Astyanax mexicanus: one gene and its partner. The main gene of each other region encodes a partner of the protein of the gene in region 2 in a complex. Links are inferred from orthologs where the notes say so. Each region holds a gene or a part of one and is shown on either strand. Other genes may lie near its edges.

Evidence for each region. The genes of interacting proteins can lie anywhere in the genome.
Region 1: arpc1b (region 2) and arpc3 share a complex: the UniProt entries of both Homo sapiens proteins name them as parts of the arp2/3 complex. The link is inferred for Astyanax mexicanus from reciprocal best matches to the Homo sapiens genes ARPC1B and ARPC3.

The regions. Positions count from the first base shown.
Region 1 is NC_064424.1:45,963,835-45,974,107, reverse strand, and holds the start of arpc3 (actin-related protein 2/3 complex subunit 3), read right to left. Parts: upstream 4,194-10,273; 5' UTR 4,049-4,193; coding exon 4,043-4,048; intron 3,509-4,042; coding exon 3,409-3,508; intron 3,234-3,408; coding exon 3,157-3,233; intron 2,291-3,156; coding exon 2,222-2,290; intron 1,503-2,221; coding exon 1,376-1,502; intron 939-1,375; coding exon 844-938; intron 1-843. Other genes in the region: gpn3 (GPN-loop GTPase 3), read right to left, coding at 5,411-5,476, 5,715-5,843, 6,120-6,216, 6,310-6,425, 7,375-7,499, 7,813-7,980, 8,238-8,346, 9,079-9,126. UniProt on the Homo sapiens protein: Component of the Arp2/3 complex, a multiprotein complex that mediates actin polymerization upon stimulation by nucleation-promoting factor (NPF).
Region 2 is NC_064410.1:54,827,721-54,838,219, reverse strand, and holds the start of arpc1b (actin-related protein 2/3 complex subunit 1B), read right to left. Parts: upstream 4,293-10,499; 5' UTR 4,138-4,292; intron 2,719-4,137; 5' UTR 2,708-2,718; coding exon 2,644-2,707; intron 1-2,643. Other genes in the region: arpc1a (actin-related protein 2/3 complex subunit 1A), read right to left, coding at 5,132-5,170, 5,383-5,473, 8,047-8,240, 8,334-8,409, 8,521-8,733, 9,763-9,870, 9,980-10,202. UniProt on the Homo sapiens protein: Component of the Arp2/3 complex, a multiprotein complex that mediates actin polymerization upon stimulation by nucleation-promoting factor (NPF).

The sequences.
Region 1 (10,273 bases), on a different chromosome or scaffold from region 2:
GTGAAAAAGATAAGTTTAAAAAAAAAGCTGCTTTTCTGATCAGTACTTGTTAGTAATGTTAAAAACATTATTAGAATATATGTAAAAAATATTAATAAAAAAGTGGTGTTTTTAAACTTTTGTTTCTTAGTCTGAGTATTATTTATAGTTCTCATCATATTAACATTTGGTTTCATAAATCAGAGCTTAGTAATGGTAAATCAGGTGACTTGCTGATGGAATTGAACTCTGTAAAACTGTAATTATGTTTAGCTGTATTGTTTGTAGATCTGGAATTATTTTTTACACTAAATGCTCTCTTATGGCTCAGAAAAATGATTTATAACTGTGGTTCTCAAACTTTTTAAAGCAATGTTGCGCCATGATTAAACCAAAAAACTTATTGGCACTTTAGCCAATCTGCAAATTACTGATTATTGTATATTGTAAATGCAGTATACCTACTGAGAAATCTTGAGACAGTGGGAAATAACATGAGAATGTAGTGGACTACAGAGTCTACATGGCTCCACCCCAGACTAATTATTTTGCTGTTATTACTAATAGAGACTATTGTGAATGGAGTTCCACAGAGATCAATTGTAAGGCCTATGAAACTGTAAAAAACTGTGTAAAAGTGTTATCTTACATACAGGGTCTACCAGATTAAACATTAAACACAAACAAACCTTAGATGTAAAAACTTTATTAAATATTTTTTGTAAATTCATTTAATTTTCTGAAGTAATCTGGTGTACTACCCTGAAATGCTTTGTGTATCACAGCTTGAGAGCCACTGATTTATAATACTGTGATTACCAGCCTGAAACCTGTGTGTGTGTGTGTGTAACAATATATGCTTACCTTGCTGGGTTTGTCTGTCTGTGGGTCGAACACGCGCTCACACAGTCTGAGGCCGGTCTCCTGGCGAATTTGCTGCAGGTAAGCCCTCATCGTCTCTGATAAAAACAATCAACAATCACTTGGTCAACATTAGAAAGGGAGCGGACACTGATATGAAGGCATTTCAAATTGATTACTCATACTGCAGATAGACAGATAGAACAGATATAGTTACATAAAAAATAGAAACATTTAATACTCTAAATTAATTTATATATGTATTGTAGGGAATTGTGTGCCTAGATATGGACTCTGCTGTAAAATGCTGTAGTGGCCGATGCAGTCCTCCAGGTGGACTGTGGTTTCCGGTTGAGAGTACGCTGTGCTCTATTGGCTGCTGCTTCTCGCCGGTGTATGGATGAGTGCTGAGTATAAAGGGTTGTGTGTAAAAATGTGTAAATTCTAAAGTGTCATTGGTTTCTAGAAAGGCGTTATTTAAGTGTAACTTCATTCATTCATTCATTCATTCACTGAAGCAGCAGTTATCTCGTACCTTCTTCCTGTTTGTTGGAGGGTTTAACGTACATGGCGTTCAGAGGGAATCCAGGCTCTCCTGGGATGGGGAAGTTGGTGATTCCCAGCGTGTACATCTCCTTCTCTCCCTGACCCTTTGAGCTGCACTGCAGGACATAAAGAAGGATGTATTTGTTACATGTATCAGTAAACCCTTTAATTTACAGCATAAATGATGAGGCCACAAACAATATAACAATAATAACGTGCCCATGTATTACTGGAGTCGGTTTACACCTGGCATTACGATGAGGGTTTTTGTGATAAGATTCAGCCAAGCAAGCACTTGTCCATTGCACTGTGTGTGTGTGTGTGTGTGTGTGTGTGTGTATCCATACTAACAAATAGTTGATAGTAGGGCTATGCGACATGATACAAATATAATAACACTATTTTTAAAGACAATTTTCCCATACTAAGATTTATGTACAATTTACTGCAATACTTCCAGTTATTCTTGACTAATTATGCTCTCTATAATATATATCTATAAATATACAATTAGGCCAGTAACTTTTAAACACTGAAGAAATCCTCAATATGCTTGAAAAGTTTATATTTGTACTTACGATAAGAAAATAATGATAAAATAAAATATATAATACTTCCCACCTATCTATCGCCGTTTAAGTAGTCCATTACATTTCCTAATAGGGCTTTTATGGAAATGTGAGAACCATCTCCACTGTATAGAAGTACCACTATCATTTCAGGATGGTATTGAAGAGAAACCATTGTTTACAGGAAGTACAATAGGAACTGAGTATGTGTAATTTAATTGTATTGTTATTATTATTATTATTATTATTACTCCAGGCACACTCACCTTCTGTAGCTTCTTGAGGCACTCAGAGATGTACAGGGTGACGTAGATCAATGTTCGGTCAGCTTCATTCTAATAAAAATTAAGCAAATAAAACAATTACTGCTAGAAAAGACGTATGTGCTTACAATACAATACATAAAAGAGTACAAAACAGAGAGCGACCCTACATGTGATTATATGAAGGCATGACTGTATTTCACTGTTACCATAATAAATTACAGTACCAGTTAAAATTGTGTGTTTCAGCTATATACCATACATGTAACAGTAAATGTAAATATATGTGTGTGTCGTGGATATTTTGCCATATTGGACTGGACAAAAAAAGCTGGACTAAAGAAAAAAATCATCTATAGCGCCTTGCAAATAACATGTCTGCTTTTTTTTTTTAACAATACACAGCATTTATTATGATACATGTAATTACATTCAAAAAGCATCAGTAGTGAAAGATTAATAAAACATTACTCAGATACTTTCCCATACTGTGATCAGTGAATAGTAGGGGTTTGTCATATTCTATCGTATGCAATAATAGAATGGAATTAAAATTTTGCCGCAGAAGTGTATTCTTGAAATATATATATATATATATATATATATATATATATATATATATATATATATATATATATATTAATTCAGTTTTTTTATCATATTGCCAAGAGTATTGTTATTGCGAAAATACCATGAAATAGTAAAGTAGAGTAGTAAAGTAGTAAAGAACAGCTGATTGCATATTTGCTTATGTGTTTTTTTTTTTTTTTTTGTACAAAAAGCATGCGAATACAGCACCAGTGCAGGCTAAACTGAAGGTGGCTGCAGAGGCAGATCTTAGAAGAATGCAGGTTGAGGCATGAGTGCATTTTTTACAGTCCTGGGTCCTTCAGCTACTTCCTGGGTATTGCAGTACATTGCAGGCTTGCAGTACGTACCTTAATTTCATAGTTCTTGAAGAAAACGTTGGCTTTGAAGTAATAAATAGCCTCATCGATGATATCTTGGTCTTTGGCTGTCAAAATAGAAAACAGGAAGATGATGAATCTGAGTCTATGGTGATGTAGTTAGTAGTGCAGCCAGTTCGCAACCATTTAAGGAAGTAATGCTGGAGCCCTACGGCTTGGACACATGACACAGCCAGCATATGTATTTTTAAAAACACATTTATTACTAAAATAATAACTCACTTTCTTTTGGAGCCGGGCCTTTAAACTGTGTTTTGAGAGGGAGTAATGCCATATTCCCCACCAGCTTGGTGTCGCCATCCATCAGACTGGAGTGGTAAGCCTGATAATCCAAAAAAAAAAGAGGAAAACCCGTTGGAATTAGTATTAAATCTATTAAATATGCAATAATGTGTTTTTAAAGCAAATAAAAATACCAACAGCCTTAGCTATAGCTAGTTATAGCGTTACAGTATTGAAACTACACTGGGTTACATTACCAATGCAATACATTCGCTAAGCTAAAGCTATGTATTAGTTAGTTAGCTGGGGTTAGCTCCCTAAATCCCTAAAAAAAATGTGTATTAACTGCTTATATGCGATACCAGCAAACCTCTAAGACTCATAAAACACATGCAGGTGTTTTAAACAAACAGAACACGTTAAAATCAGCTTTAAAATCAGAAAGTCCAGCTAAAATTCTCTGAAAATGTCTGAGGAGGGACGGGAAGCTGCTAGCCGTGCAGCTAGCTTCGTTCGGTTGACCATCAGCTCCAGCTACCGTGGCTCAGAAAAAGACCCGAAAACGAAGATTATACTGTTTAAAAGCCGTTTTAATATGACGTTCTATTAAAAGAGACTTTAAACATTTTCTTACCGGCATTTTGTTGATAGGTAAGCGGGATTTGGTGAGGAAAATATGGATAGTGTCAGCGCTGCAAAACGCCGCTTCCGCTGTGAGTCCCACCCAACCGCTATACAGGAAGAGCTTGGGCTGCAGTTCCCATACTGACCACTAGGGGCAGATAACCGCATATACTATACTAAAACTAGAGCATCTAAAAAAAAAATAATATTATTAAAAATATCATTACTTTATTTCAGTAATTCAGTTTAAAATGTGAAACGCATATATTACATAAACGTCTTACAGTATTACACACAGGATGATCTATTTTAAGCATGAAATTATTTATTTTATTGGTGATGATTATGTCTTACAGCCAATGAAAACTTGTGGCAGTGTAGGCAGTGTGCCAAGTCCTGCTGGAAAATGAAATCTGCATCTCCATAAAAGCTGTTTTCAGCCGAGGGAAGCATGAAGTGCTGTAAGATTTTGTGGGAAAACAAAACTGCACTGACTTTAGACTTGATAATAAAACACAGTGGATCAACACCAGCAGATGACAGACATGTCTCTCCAAACCATCACTGATTGGTGGAAACTTCACTCTAGACCTCGAGCAGTTTGGACTGTGTGTCTCTCCACTCTTCCTCCAGACTCTGCTCCCTTGATTTTTAAATAAAATGTAAAATTTACTGATGATCAGTGATGGTTTTGAGAGTCATGTCATCTGCTGGTGTTGATCCACTGTGGTATATTAAATAGTTTAACATGAAAAAAGTTTACATGAAATGTTCATTCACACACTATTAAACTGGCCATACTTGTAGATCATTATAAACCATCAAACACATATTAAACAAAAACATACTGATATATATATATATATATATTTATATAATCATACATAATTGTATATAGTATGGCCATTGTCATGTCGTAGTAATTCATACCTATTTATGTATATGTAATTTGTATTTAAACATTACATTTTTCAGATCAACAACCATCAGAACACATGTAATAAACTTTTACAAATATTTTATTGAAAAAATATTTATTATACAGCTCTAAGAATGTAAGAATGCATCATCCCATACTTAAAGAGTGTAGGAACAGACAGGAAACACAGGAAGAATAAAATTAGGAGAATAATAATTATGCAGTCTGTATTGAAAACATGCACACACACCCACACGCACAGAAACTAGATTCTTGAGGAACTTCAGACTCTTCAGACTGCCCGACATTTCCTCCTCATGTCCTGCAGCGGTGCTCTTCACTTCCAGGCTGGGAGGGTCACAGCACCCTGCTGCTGAGTGCCCGTTTCATCAGCACTGCATCTCTGTGACTTTTAGTCTTGTTATGTGTCAAACAGGCTGTATTTCTATGATGAAGTGTCTAGTAATCCACTTTGTCTTGAAAGAATTCATCATAATTTGTGTTGCTAGGCTCCTCCTCAGTCTCCTAAAGAAAAAGGGAAATTGTTAAGTAATATAATGATGAAAAATAAATGGAAATAATCATACACCTTTAAAGCCTTTGTATTTAAATCAACTGCATTTAAACCTTAGATATTGGGCTACTTTAGGCTTCTGAAGGGCAAGTTTTAGACTTATTTTGGCTGGATATTTTTTACTGAACCTGGCAACCACATGATAATCTACACGGTAAACTAAAAAGACAAATTAAATAACGTGTTTACCTTCGGCTCCTTGAACTCTAGGTCCTCTCCATACTGAATGGAGAAGTCGATGTGCTGTAGAACAATGTTGATGCCTTCCTCATCTGTGCGGTCAAAGGGCAGGAAGCGCACCATGCTGTAGTCATCAATCTGTACACAAACACAAATCTGTTTCTTAAAATACAATGTATTTTATGTCATATTTACATATAAAATATATAAAATTTGGGACCTACCTACCTCCTCAATTGCATTACATAAAAATAGATATAATAATAGAAATAGTTTCAATAAAACAAAATACAATGACAGACAACTCTTTACATATTATAATGTACATATTAAAATAAAATATTCTGTTCCATAAAAATCTATTTAATTGTTTAATAAAATATAATACAAAAACAGGCATCATTGTAAACCTACCAAACCACAGATAGCTTTAGTGAGTTTGTTGAATTTTTTGCTCCTCAGGGTTGTAGAGTTGTCCTCCATCATGGAGTACATGTCTGGATCCAGATACCTGAAGTAAAAACATTATATTTATCTGTGTTTTATTACAGATTTTACACACGAATACAGTCAAATACAGACCGACACTCTTTGGGAAACTTACTTCTCTATTTCCTTCTTGGCTTTTGGATTGAGCAGGTCCATTTTGGTCATGATGTTGACCTGAGGGATTTCTAGCGCCACCATGGCACTCAGAGCCGCCATTACACCTGAAATAAACTAGAAAACAGAGCATTTCTGATGGGTGTTTTTTTTAAACTAAATAACATCTATTTAGTCACACATTAAGATATGTTACCATCCAAATTGTAATGTTTTTTTGGCTTATTGTTTATTTATTTTACATAGTACAATGTAATTCAATACAAATACAATTTTACGTTTTCCCTTTTCCAGTATTTCACATTATTCATATACATTTTAAAAAGGATTTATAAAATGGTATAATAGGGAAATAAGAAATGATTAAAATAAGTAAAAATATAAATACATAAGGACAAAAAAAATAAATTTTAGTGTTTTAAAAAGTTTGAGTTTTGACTAAATATGAAAAATATTAGTGTGTTTCTTTTGCTTTTAAAGACAATACAGAAGTTTACATCACAAAAAACTGCTAGAAACTGATAATCTAGAGCAGTGATTCTTAACTGGTGGTTCAGGACCCAAAAGTGGGCTGTGGGCACGTTCTGGGCGTGTCATAAAAAGCTTACTGTAAAAGTAAATATATATAAAAAAAAAATCTAAAATTAAAAATAATTTATGTTCATCTGGTTTTGTACTCTTTTGTATTTTATATACTCTCAATGCAGAGATATGCAGAGAAGTGAAATATTTATTTATTTATTTATTATTTATTTCGTGCAATTTTAATATTAACCTAATAGTAGTAACTTTTATACATATAATTATTATGAACCTCCTTAGTTTCTTAAATGCTCTGAAGTGCTCTGAAAATTCACTTTGCTTGCATATGCATGTTTAAACTGCTTTTTGAAAGCTATATTTTTATTAATTAGTTTGGTTTGAATTTAAAGTGGGTTGTAACTTAATGACCAGGAGAAAAATAAAGGACCATTTGAGAACCCCTGCTCTAGGGTGTTTTTGAGCTGAAAATGCAATAATCCTGATTGTTATTTTATTTTTTCAAAAAACAATATTAATTTCCTACCTTGAAGCTTTCCACCATAAACTGAGAGTCGACCAGGAAGACCCCACACACCCGGAACTCCCACTGCTGCAGCTGCTCAGCCAACTGCTTCATAACCGGGAGGTGTGTGTACAGCTCTATCTGACCTGCAGCCAGAGAGGAAAAAACACATGGGAATAAATAATGTGGATTTAAAGAGAACACAGATGTTGATGAAAACACAAATAGAATAAAAGAATGGATAATAGTTAATAGTTTTAGTCTAGGGGCTTTGAGTGGTCCAGCTGATAGGAACTGTGTAAAAATGGGGTCAAATTAGACATAAATAAGAATAGTTTTAGGCGAGAACATCCATTAAAGTCACTTTTTTGTATTAATGAATTTCCTCACAATTTTATTTCACAATTATCATTACCATAATCTTAATAATGGATTAATGGCAATGAATTTCAGAATTACCTGGACAGTCAAAAAGAATGTAGTCATCCTCAACATGACCAAGACACTCCTCCAGCCAGTTGAAGTTATTCGCAAAATACTCCATACAGAACACAAGTCCTCCATTCGGCCCAAACTTCAGCGAATCGTCCTCCATCACATCATCCACCTGGATCAGCTCTCGGATATCTGTACCATTACAAAAACAACAGAAAACAACAAGATTCTTTGTAGCCGTCTTTTAATATTAGGGGCGGGACAATATATCAATATATCGCATCATTTTGACCATATTGTTTTTTATCGTTACGTGGCACCAAATATCATTTTCATTGTGTTATATTCCTCATCCACTGACCTGGATTAACATTAACAATAAAAACAATCATTTGTACAATTCTGAGTATTTCTGGATTTATTGCTGGTCGATTTGTCTCCAGTCTTACCTGCCATCACTGGGTAGTCGAAGTGTTCTGCTGCCGGGTCCAGATTCACCACCTGCACAGAGCGGCTGATGGCTTCAGCATGTTGTATCATAGTGGAGCAGTAGGTGCTCTGTGGAGGAGCAGAGTAGTTCACTATTAAAATGAGCAGCATAATCAAATAATAATCAAAAACCACTCTCTTTCTGTGTTTATTTAAATGGGATTAATCTTATTTATGTTTCTGTAAGTGTCTGTAAGTGAAAATGTACTTAATTTACAGTCATCCATTAAGCTTTTCAAGTGATTTCGAGTTTTATCTTATTTATTCACATTATATATAAATAGTATATCTACTAGAGACAGATTATATCTGTTCTGTATCATTTATTTTACTGGATATATCCTGGATATATGGAGATATTTGGAACGCATTATTATTAGTATCATGACATTTTGGATCATTGACTTCTGTTACAAATCTGATAAAATTCTTGTGTTTTTTTTTACATTACATTACATTACATTTTTTAATATCTCAGTTAGGGGTAACATATATAATATCATATTGTATACAATAATAATATTTTTTTTATTCAGTGTTTTGTCATATCGCCAAGACTTTCGTTATCGCGAAAATACCATGAAATATCGTGATATTATTTTAGGGCCCACTCCTAGCTCTAAATATTAATTTAGTATCCTATTTACACTCCTGCGATGTGACGGTAGCCAGAGAAAATACTGAATGTATGTTAATAGGGATAGATTTGTATAAAACACTAAAATAAAGCAGTATAATCAGATTTAACAGCTTTAATTTAGCTTGATAGTTTTATATTAAACTCTGATCTAATAGTTTTACCTTTCCGCTGCCGGCGGGTCCCATCACCAGCTGAGCGTAGCGCGGCATTATTAACTAAGTTACTATAAACAGCTTTATAACTTCTGAATAACGCAGTTCTCCACTATTACAGAATATATTACAGTATTTATATTACAGTACAGTGAGAGAAATCACAGAAATATCTCTGTAACTGTATTCATATCTCTATCTCTGACTGTAAACACCACACCACTAATCTCCCACTGCCTCCATGCTGCCTGCTGACCAGTCAGAACTACGGAAAGCGAAGAGTATCAAAAACTACAGCGTTCAGAGAATCGCCAATCTCTCTAGATTCGAATACCCACCAGAGAGCGCTGCCGAGTCAGTGCACAAAAATACATAATTGTAAATAAATAATTGCACATATAAATAAAATAAAATAAATAAATATATAGGCAAGTAAATACATGAATAAATACATTTTTATGAAAAAAGCACTCACTTAAAACGATATCAACTATATCATGTTTCCATTAACTTTCCATCCACTTTATTTGGGTCTGTTTCTGTATTTTTCTGCATTTATTGTTATCTATATATTTATTGTTTAATACATATATATTGATTGATACATACAGAAATGAATAAATAAAGAAATATAGTAATACGTACATAAATAAATAATACATAAATAAAATAAAGAAATGTGGGAATAATATAACAGAATATAAATGTTGAAATTTTGAAAAAAAAAAAAAGAATAATAAAGGTTCACGCATGGAAATATGAACAGTGATTCCTAATATGATATTCAAAATATATTTATTAATTAAGTTACCTATACTATTATTTATTTATTTATTTATTTATATGTGCATGTATTTATTTATGCTTGTCATTTTTCGTCCTCCATACCGAACTGCAGAACAGCTGGAATTGAACGTGTAACCTATACAAACTTGATTTTTCAGTGGTGTAATCACTCCACCCTGACACTAGAGAGAGACAGAGACTAAATATTATAGTGGTACTACATAAATAAATCTTGGTGTATACTACCTTCAACAATGCTATATATTTGTTGTATATTGTTATTATGCTTACAGGGGCATAGTAGTTAAATGTTAATCAAAACTAATGCATACATTTTACTGAACAGTATAAAACACAGAAGCATTGGAAGGTTGAATTGATTTTGATCAAAGACATACAGACATAACCTTCATAAACA
Region 2 (10,499 bases):
GTTTGCTTAAGAGCACTCACCCCATACTCAAGATTGTGATGATGCAGCATTTCCTGTGTGATGTGCATTTTCTTTTCCTTTCTTTTATTAATTTATTTATCCCATTTTCTCCCCAATTTACAAGGACAATTACCCCACTCACTCATTAGGACCCCCCCTACCACTAGTAATACCCCAACACCAGCAGGGTGAAGACTAGCACATGCCTCCATTGATGCATGTGAAGTCAGCCACCACCTCTTTTTGAACTGCTGTTGATTTTTGAGCATTTCCAAGAAGCATCACAGCGCGCTTGGAGGAAAGCACAGCGACTCTTTTCTGATACATCAGCTCACAGATGCCTCATGCTGTGGACATCATCTTCAAGTGATGAGTGGAAAAAGAGCGCCATCTACCCACTCAGAGAGAGCAAGGCCAATTGTGCTCTCTCGGGGCTCCGGCAGCCGATGGCAAGCTATATGAATGGGATTCCTTTATTTCCATGATAGGGATTAAATTTTGTTATTTTAAAATGGAGATTTTCCACTGAAAGGAAAATATATTCTATGACTAGGTTTAGGCCCAATCCTATTTCACCCCTTGGCTCTACCACTTAGCTCTACCCCTTTGTTTTGTGTGTGAACGTCTAGGGGTAGGGGTGTCCTGATTTTTGTTAGGCTGGAGGGGTAGGGTGAAGAGTTATAGCTAAATGGGCCTTCAAACAAAGATTTTTTTAGATGCACTCTTAAAACAGAGTTCTATGAGAATTACTGGCAAGATTTAGTGGCTAGCTAGCTTTCTAACTATCCTGCTCCTACTTTTTAGCAAAGAAAAGGTACTTTTACTTAATTACATTTTTTCAGTACTTTTTCCACCTCTGGTAGAAGGTGGATAAGAGCTCTGCAATTTTTATAAGAAAACTGCTGCTTTTTTACTGGCCACTCATGCTTTAATCTTATTTTAATATATTTTGCTCAATATGACTATGGTCTGGCCTTTTTACTCCAATCTTGGTGACGCTACAACATAATTGTTATTAGAAGCCAACCGATAACATTTATGCTTATCTTTCAAGCTATTGTAAGTATTGAAAATACTGGTGACATTCTTTCTTACATAAACAAACATGCAAAAAAACACAATGGCCAATATGGATGTTATCAATGATCCTAGACTTGAAACAGGGAATTAAATATGAACTAATTTAATCTGAACATCAGGGGAGAAAATACCCATTCTTCTCCCTGTTTACTGAGCCACTCAAATGCATTCAGGAACCTTCAGAGAAAAAAAAACACCAAAAATGTTCTTTCTGAGCGTGTGATCTCCAAAAAGTAGTAGAAAAAAAAAACACACCAACAAACCCGTCCTTGTTCTTCTGCAGAGCCAAAACAAGGACAGCCAGCCTAGTGTCTGTTTGTCTGTTTGGAGCGACTACATACATCTACATTACAAATGTGAACATTCCCAGTGAACATTAAGCTTTAAAGAGTGAGTCCATAAATCAGAGAAGCTTATGAAAACCCAGCAGCCGCCTCCTGCTGCGAGTCCTGCGGAAATACCTGCAGATACCTGGCCTGGGACCAGACGCTCCAGCCTAATGTAGCAACCACATGTTCCAGCATCTGCACCAACACAGGCCTGCCTATAATCCATGTTCTGTGCAGGAGTGTGCCATATTTCCATCGGCTGTTATACATTATTATTATATAATTAGTGCTACAATATTATCTGCTGTCATACATTATTATTAAAAAAATATTTAGCTAAATTTTCACCTTCTGTCATTCATTATTATTATTACAGATTGTAATAATATTTATAATTATAATAATTACAACATTATAACAGATTTAAAAAAATATTATCTGCTGTTCAACATTATTATTATTACAGATTAAAAAAAAATATTATGTGCTGATACAAATTATTACAGGTTTTTAAAAATATTATCTGCTTTTAAATATTATTATTACAGATTTAAAAAAAAAATATTATCTGCTGTTAAACGTTATTACAGGTTTTTTGTTACATTATTGTCTGCTGTTATACATTATTATTACAGATTTTAAAACATATCTGCTGTTAAACATTATTATTACAGATTTTTTGTTATTATTTGCTGTTATACATTTTTATTTATTAAAAAATATAACCTTCTGTTATATATTATTACTAAAAAAATACCTACTGTTAAACAATACAGATTTTTACAAATATTATCTGCTGTTAAACATTATTATTACATTTAAAATATATATATATATATATATCTGCTGTTAAACATTATTACATGTTTGTTTGTTACTTATTATCTGCTGTTAAATATTATTATTACAGTATTATCATGCTGTATCTGATAAAAAAAATGACAAAAATGTAATGTTTTTGTTTTATACTGAATCTATGAAACTTTTATATTAATACTCAATGAAACCACCATTATTTTGTTGCAGTAAAATATTTTTTAAATTAATAAAATATGTTTTTAGTCCCATCACCAAGAATATCTTATTACAACATTGAAACACTGAAATATTGTGATAGTATTTCAGTATAGTATAGCCCCCCTCTCATGCTAGGGTGGACATCTTTGTGATTTTGAGATGTTTAAAGGCCTTCAGAACTCTGGAAGATGCTCTACACAAGAGCAGCAGAACTCACGGGTTCGGTCCTTGTTCCAGGCGTGGCAGCTGATGGGTTCCAGTAGAAAGCTGTGGTAAGCCATGGTTCAGGTCTCTGCAGATCAGATACAGCAGCAGATAAGAACAAACTGAACACCTTCAAACCTTTAGCATCTGCTCAAATGTTTAAAAGAGCACATCCAAGTAACCATATCTAAATACTTTTTTATTTATTATCTATAATTCAGTCCACACATGGATTTTGGGAGAACTTTTCAGCATATTATAGCTTTTAGAGGTTTTGATGGATGGAAGCATGTGTCATCTAAAGTCTCAAATTCTTCATACATTTGAACATTTCTGGTATATTTTTATTGCACAAAAAAAACATCTACTTTGATCTTGGTGAGAACACCTGCTAATTAGTTATATCTGTGTTAAATTTACAAAAAGAAAAAAAAAATCAAAAAGTGAGGCCACGCTTCTTCACTTCCGCAGAAATGAGAACAAGAAGCAGCGGCTCTAAAAGGAGAACTTTCTGAACTTCCTTATGTAGTCAACTCCATTGTGTTTGATCTACATGTGAACTAGGGGTGTGCCATATTGTATTACACAGTATAAAATGTTATAATTTATTTAATTTATGATTAAATTAGTTAATAAAAAAGAACAGTATATAATGATTAAAGCAATATTTGATCTTGTAATCAGTATGGTTTTTTTTGTATTTACAGTGGAGCTTTAAGCTTTTTACTTTTTAAGAGTATAATTGTGTTTGTTTGCAGTTAATATGCATGCACTAAAAATTCGGCACAGATTTACAGATTTTTTTCTGTTTCTACTGATTGTTTGAAACTTGTCTTTATACAATAAAAACAGCAAAAAGTTTATTGCCAAGAATATCGTTAATGCAAAAATAGCCCTGAAATATCATGATATTATTTTGGGGCCATATCGCCCACCCCTAATAAAATAAACACATTCTTTCATGTCTAGCTCAAATTTAGATTTAGTCTAAAACGCTCCCAGCCGGCCTTTGGAACTAAACTTCCTCTTTTTCCCCTCTTTCTCTCTCTCTTTTGCAGTAAATTAAAAGCAGAGCAGAAAGGAATGTGACGTGAGGTCAGACAGCCGGATGACAACTGCAGGAGAAAAACACATTCAACACCTTTTCATCTCAGACTTTCCATTCAGAGCTCCCTCCCTGCTCTAAAGAGCCTCTTACGCCTTCTAAAGTCTTCTCAACAGTTCATAAGAAACAACAGTTTCCTCCTCAAAACCTCTATTTATAGCTGTATATCTGGGAACAGTTATGACATTGTTATGCAAAGGCGTAATAGTAGTAATAACATGTTAGTACATGTTAGTTTCGCAACACTTGAAGCTCTGCATACACACACACACACACACACACACACACACACATATATATATATATATATATACATATATAGAGCAGAACACGCCCTGCAGCAGCTAGCTGAAAGCCTGCACTACGCTTCACATAAACAGAAAAATCTGTTCATCTACTCACCCTGGAAATGGTTAAACGGGAAGTTTCCCTGAGATCTAGCAGATAGGAAGAGGTGGAACAGAAGCAGCCTGAGTTCGTGGACTCTGAGCAGTCAACACAAACGCTGGCTCGGCTCTCAATGAACTCAACTATTTCCTTAGACCTTTTATATACGTAAAAAAAAAAGAAAAAAAAAAAAGAAAAAGAAGTGTTCTTCCCCCTTCCTGTTTGAGACACTTAACCACTTCCTCGTGTGGGCGGCTGTCTGCAAACGGGGCCAGCCTTCTCTGTTCAACTCCTTTCAACATCCTGCTCAGAGGCATGTATAACATAAGCTACTCTCGCGATCCTTCATCTGCCGGTGTGTGTGTGCTGCCTGTACAAACACAGTGAGTCCAGAATGTGCAATGTGAACACTAAACCAACTAGCAAACCTTCTATTCGCTGTGGATGGGTGAGTGTTTGGCATGAATTGAGGCTGCAGTTAATCAAATATCCCAAAAAGTTGTGCAACATTCAACAGCAATACCAAACATCCCGAACGCGAGCATTAAATGCATTCATTAAATTAATAATAACAACAAGTCACACAGAACGAGACAAGACACTACATTCCCAAATGGTGTGTAGTATACTTCATTTATTTCTAGCAGACCATTTACATAAAATTCTCCTTTAATTTAACGCCTCTCTGGTTCCCCAGAACACCAAGATCAAATGTCAGACTGCTGGAGCACCAGCTTTGGCATAGAATTAAAAAAAAAAAAAAAAAAAAAAAAAAAAGCCCCCAAAAAAACAAAACAAAAAAAAAGACCCTAACCCCCTTTTCCATTAGTGTTTTTCCATTTTTTTTTTTCATTTGTTTCTTTTTAAGAGTGTCACGTCAGCTCACACCACTGTTCAGTGCTTTTTTTTTTCTCAGTTAAAAACTTTCAGAAGTGTTATCAGAAATCTCCTTGTTAGTCTTCAAGCTGCATTGCCTGCGCTGCGTCGTGCTAGTTCAGAGTGAGGTCTTTCACATGATCCGTAGGCCTTGAATAGAGGACTCTAAAGTCTGAGGAGACAAAAAAAAGAAGAAGAAGAAGAAGAAAAATGAGAAGAAGATCAAATACAGTGAGCTGTTGAGCTCAGAGCATGTTTCTTACGCAAGATTGAGAAATGACTGCAAGGAAAACAAAGATTGTTCTATTCTAAAAAAACAAACGAGCAAACAAACAACAAAAAAAAAGAGATGCCAACAAAAGCACAACAAACAAAAAGGCAAACCTTAAAGTCCCATATGGTCATTGCTCCATCGATTCCTGTAGTGCAGAATTTGCGACAATCTCTTTTGTCTCCTTCATATATAGACACTTGGCTGCAGAGGAAAGGCAAAGGAGATTACTTACAGATCAGAACAAATTTATATCAAAACACTGAGAAAAATAATGTAAACCCCTCCATGAATTTAAACATAACCAACTTATTTGTTATCTTATCCTCAGTCAAATAAAATCAAATGCCAACTGCCACAACATCTGAAGTGGAGTTGTACATGTGATATATATATTTTTTTCAGCATGTGATGTTTGAGTAGTAGTCACACAGCAGGATGTTCAAGATCACTTAAGTAGAAATGTAACAGTACACAAAATTCCACAATTTGGTGCGATTCTGCTACGAAAAGTAGAGGCAAAAATAAACAGTAATTGTGCAACTTCCAGTATGCTCCAGGTACTTTTATATATTTCCCTTGAGGTATCGAATTTTTTGCACTATAAGGTGCACCCAAAATCCTTTAATTTTTCCAAAAATAGTCAGTGCGTCATATAATCTGGTGCACCTTATGTATGAATTTTAGTACAGCGTTATACAGGAGTTTCAGTTTAGTTCTCCAGCACCGAAACTGGAGCAGTATTAGCATTAGCCCCTAACCGTAATAAGTGCTATCTTTTTTACTGTTCAGAGGGGAGTATTATCGGCCTGTAGCTTACTGCTAACCCCGACTAGCACTGCTGGAGCAGCATTAGCCGCGGCTTACCAGAACACTCAGGATTCCTCAGTGTAGCGCTGTCGGCAGCATTTACTAGCGCTAACTGCGGCTAACCTAGTGGAAATCTGCAAATCTAAGCCTACTGTAAATAAATGGAAGTGCATTTCTTGCCTAGTTTTCAGAAGATAAATCTGTGTAGATTAACATCCTTTTTTATTTTTAAGAATTACAGTTGTGTTTACTTTGCTTTGCTCTACTTAACTTAGTTAACTACCCCCACCTGCAGTGAGACCTGCTGAATTAGAACCCATGATCCTTACTAGTGCTGCATAAAGCGCTTTATAATCCAAAAATACACCAGAAAATAGACGTTCACTGATAGTGCGCCTTAAAGTCTGAAAAATATGGTGAGCAATACAGTCTATACTGCATTTAAACAGCGAAATGTAAACAGTCACAGTGGTCGTATTCTTATCTAACCTGAAATACACATTTTATGTTTACTGTTATAAAATACAAAATTGAATACAATATAAAACGTTTTGCAATGAGAGGAGTGTTATAATTTAATATAATTTATATTTAAACAAAACTTAAGTTCAAAGTTTAAAGAATTTTGTCAGTACAAATCAGCTAAAGTTTTCTCGTGCAAATAACTCACTGTGTTCATTGGTTATCACACATTGGTATAAACGGTGTGTACAGTGTATTCTCCTCTGCAACTGCACAAACCATGACCCCTCTACTGATAATTCATAAAGAACACATGTAACCATTATACCCCTACACATTAGGCAAAGGCAAACACACCACACTACAACCTTTTTGGCAGTTGGTATAAAATGGAAATATCCAGGCCATATCTACTATAGGTTGATTATACATTGGCATGCTAGAAGTCATGGGAGAGCAGTACACTGGAAAGGCAACGTAAAACATCAGTTTGAGTGAGATCGGCAGTGAGTGCCAGATGGATGGGACATTATATTTCTAAATTGTGCAGACATTTACCAATTCTAGGAAAACTCCACAGGTTAGAGCTGCTTCCTTTAGCTTACATGGCTACACAAAGTGCATTACCAATAGGGCTGGTTATCGTTTAAAAATGTTCAGTACTGATACTGATACAATACTTTAAATCTGGTACAGATACCCAAACAATACTTTTTTCGATATCTTTTTTTAATTGTAACTAAAAAAAATATATACAAAAAGCGATAATTATTCTCACAAAACATGTTTAAACTATCACTGTGAGAGACTACCATAATTTTGGATCTTGTTGGTTGTTTGTGGCGCTTTATTAAGAACCAAAACAACAGCGTTACTACAAATATTTTCACTAAGCATAATACTGGATGCATTTCAGTTCTTTTAAAAAAATATCTGCATTAGATTGGCAAAACTAAATTATTTTTATTAGAGTGGTGTCAATCACTTAAAAATTAAATATCAAGTTTCATGCTAGTTCCCTGTATTATTGTGAGGGAACAGCTAAAATAGTGTAGTGTGGTTTAGGTTTGGCAGACTAGATCATTTTTTATTGTATTATAATATCTCAGGGTAGAGGGGAGGACTGCGTGAGAGACAAAGCGAATGAAAATGAGAGAGAGACAACGTGAATGAGCTAGAGAGAAAGAGAGACGGCGCACAAGAGGTCAAGCAAGAGACTGTGTTTCTGTGCGCGTTTATGCAGGTTTAATGCAAAGTATCGAAAACAGGCACCAAATTTTTTTGGACCTTTTGGTACTCTGTAGTACCGAGACATTTTGGACCACTGTGTCTTTATGGTATCAAATTTCGATATCCAGTCCTAATTACCAATTTCATGACATGTTGGATCTGTGACTGCAGTGATTGCAGTGGAAAAACTGTTAGTTCTGTCAATATTCTACAGGCCTAATCTGAAGCCAGTGTCCAAACACTATTCAGGACCACGACCAGGGCATGAGACTTACGTGATGCTGTTCTGGTGAAGGGTTTCCAGAGTGCTATTGCGGTCCTCAGTGGTGGCTCTCTTGTCCATGTTGCGGAAGCGCTCCATGGCAGAGATGTTGCGCTGGATGCTCTGCTTTGGAATGTCCAACTTGGATATGAAGGTCAAGGTTCCACCATCATCAAAGCTGAACAGCATTGGGCAGCAGTCATGACCCTTCAGAGGAAAAACACCACTTTAAAACTGAATCCTGAGACAAAAATGACAATAAAACCTGAACCTGTGCTGTAAACTGTAACCTGCCCTTACCGCTGCCACAATGTTGTTCTCAGAAACGAAGGTGACGCTCAGAAGAGCAAGGAATTCTGTTTTCAGTGGGCTTGGCCTGCAAACAAAAGGAAGCAGTCTTTCAGAAAAAAGGGCCAACAAAACAAATCTGAAAACACACAATGTTTTCTGAAAACATAAAAAAATGCAATCATATTAAGATTCTCACGTTGAGCTTTTTGTGGGGTCCACCACAGTCACAGTGCTGTCATGGCTGACCCAGGCCAGTCTGTTCCCACTGGCAGAGAAACAGACACTGTGGACCCATCCTCCACTGCCTGCCCCACCAAACTCTGCCATCACCTGCCCAAACGGCATCTTGGACCCCCATGGAGTTGGAGCTGGCTTTTCATCCACCTCCTTGATGTATGCAGAAAATACCCTGCGAAAGAGATAGATGTCACATGACTATAAGGACACAGACAAAAGTCCATCACTGTTCTGAAAAGCAACAGCAGCCTGTTCAAATAAACATGGCATTGTCTGAAATAGATGCCAAAGATCTTTCATGGTTTTGTTCGAAATCAAAAGGTATTAAAAGACTTTATGCAGTTTTTGATGAAGTAACTGTCTCTAATTTTCTGGGGATGTTTCTCTTAGATTATAGGACGATGGATGATCACCACCTGATTGGATAACCTTTAGTCCATGTGTGGCATTTGACATGGTACCAATAGCTTTGTGTTTATTTGCTCCAGACAGTCTTATTCTGTTGGCTTCTCTACAGGGACTAAACACACAGTGTGCATTTGTACATCTGTATCAGCAATTGGTGTAACTAACATTTTTTAAAGGAGTGTCCACAACCATTTGGAAATATAGAGTAAAACAAATATTGTTATTGTCACTGTAACAAATCAAAATCAAATTTATTTGTATAGCACATTTTACAACTGATGTCATAAAGCAGCTTTACAGGACAAAGAATCAGAAAACACTGAACCCTCAGTGAGCGCTGGGGCAACACAAAAACCTTGTATCTCTGATTATGCCACTTTTTTATTATTTGACATACTCTAAAACTTCTTAAAAAGTTGTTATAAAAATGTCAGTTCACTTGGCCGGGCACTTATGTCTGTTTGAATGGGGGGACGGGACAGGGGCTTTCCTACCAGCATGCTGACACTCCTACAGTCTACACACAAGAAGCAGCTGATTGGCTCTTTTTGTTAAGGGCAAGACTTTTTCCATAAACAGGAGCAATTTTTAGCATTACAAGAAATCCCATTCATACATCCTCACTAATAAGGTCTCTGCTTATAATACTTTTTTTTTTCTTTTTTTTCTGTGAAGCTATAAGGAGAACCTAGACTTTACACAGGAGTGATATGATTGCGAGTAGTCACGTGCCCATAACGGGAATAGCGGACTCTCAATGAAAATTCCAGGTAACCGTGAGACTCAAACTTACCTGCATTTAAAGTCACATGACCCAGCTGCCAGAAGTACATTGTTTGGATGCCAGTCAAGACTGAGGACAGTGGAGCGGATAGGCTTCTTGATGTGTTTGCTAACCCACCTTTTTAAAAAACATAGAAAGCATATTTATGCACAGAACAGCTGCAATGTGATCTGTTTTAAACTGAAGGCTCCTAAAACGTTCACTAGAAGCTCCAATTCAGACTCACCAGTCATTTTCAGACTCAAAGTAGCAAACAGATATGAGGCGAGCTCCACTGCCCACTGCAAACTTATTCTCCAGTGGAGACCACTTCACAAACGTGGCAGCACGGTTGATCCTGAGGATGACAAGAGTGGGCTTCCAAACGCCGTCCTTCTGGCTCCACACGTAAGCATTGCGATCCGCTCCGCAGGTTACAATCCGATCGCTTTTAGGAGCCCAGTCAATGCCTAAAACAGTTGTGCAACAATGATGAGCTCACATCAAGTCTAGGGTCATGTTTTGTCAAATGTAATGATGGGACACACTACAGTGCTGTAAAAAAAAAAATATCACCTTCCTAATTTCTTCTATTTTTGCATATTTGCTACATTTAAATGTTTCAGATCAAACTGCTTATTTTAATAAAATATAAATATAAACAAAAGCTAAAAGCTTTACTGAGCTTTCTGATGTTTTATTCCCACCTGGATTAAACTTGTCTTGTTTGAGGAAAGGACAGGATGTGTTAATACCTACTTTTTTTT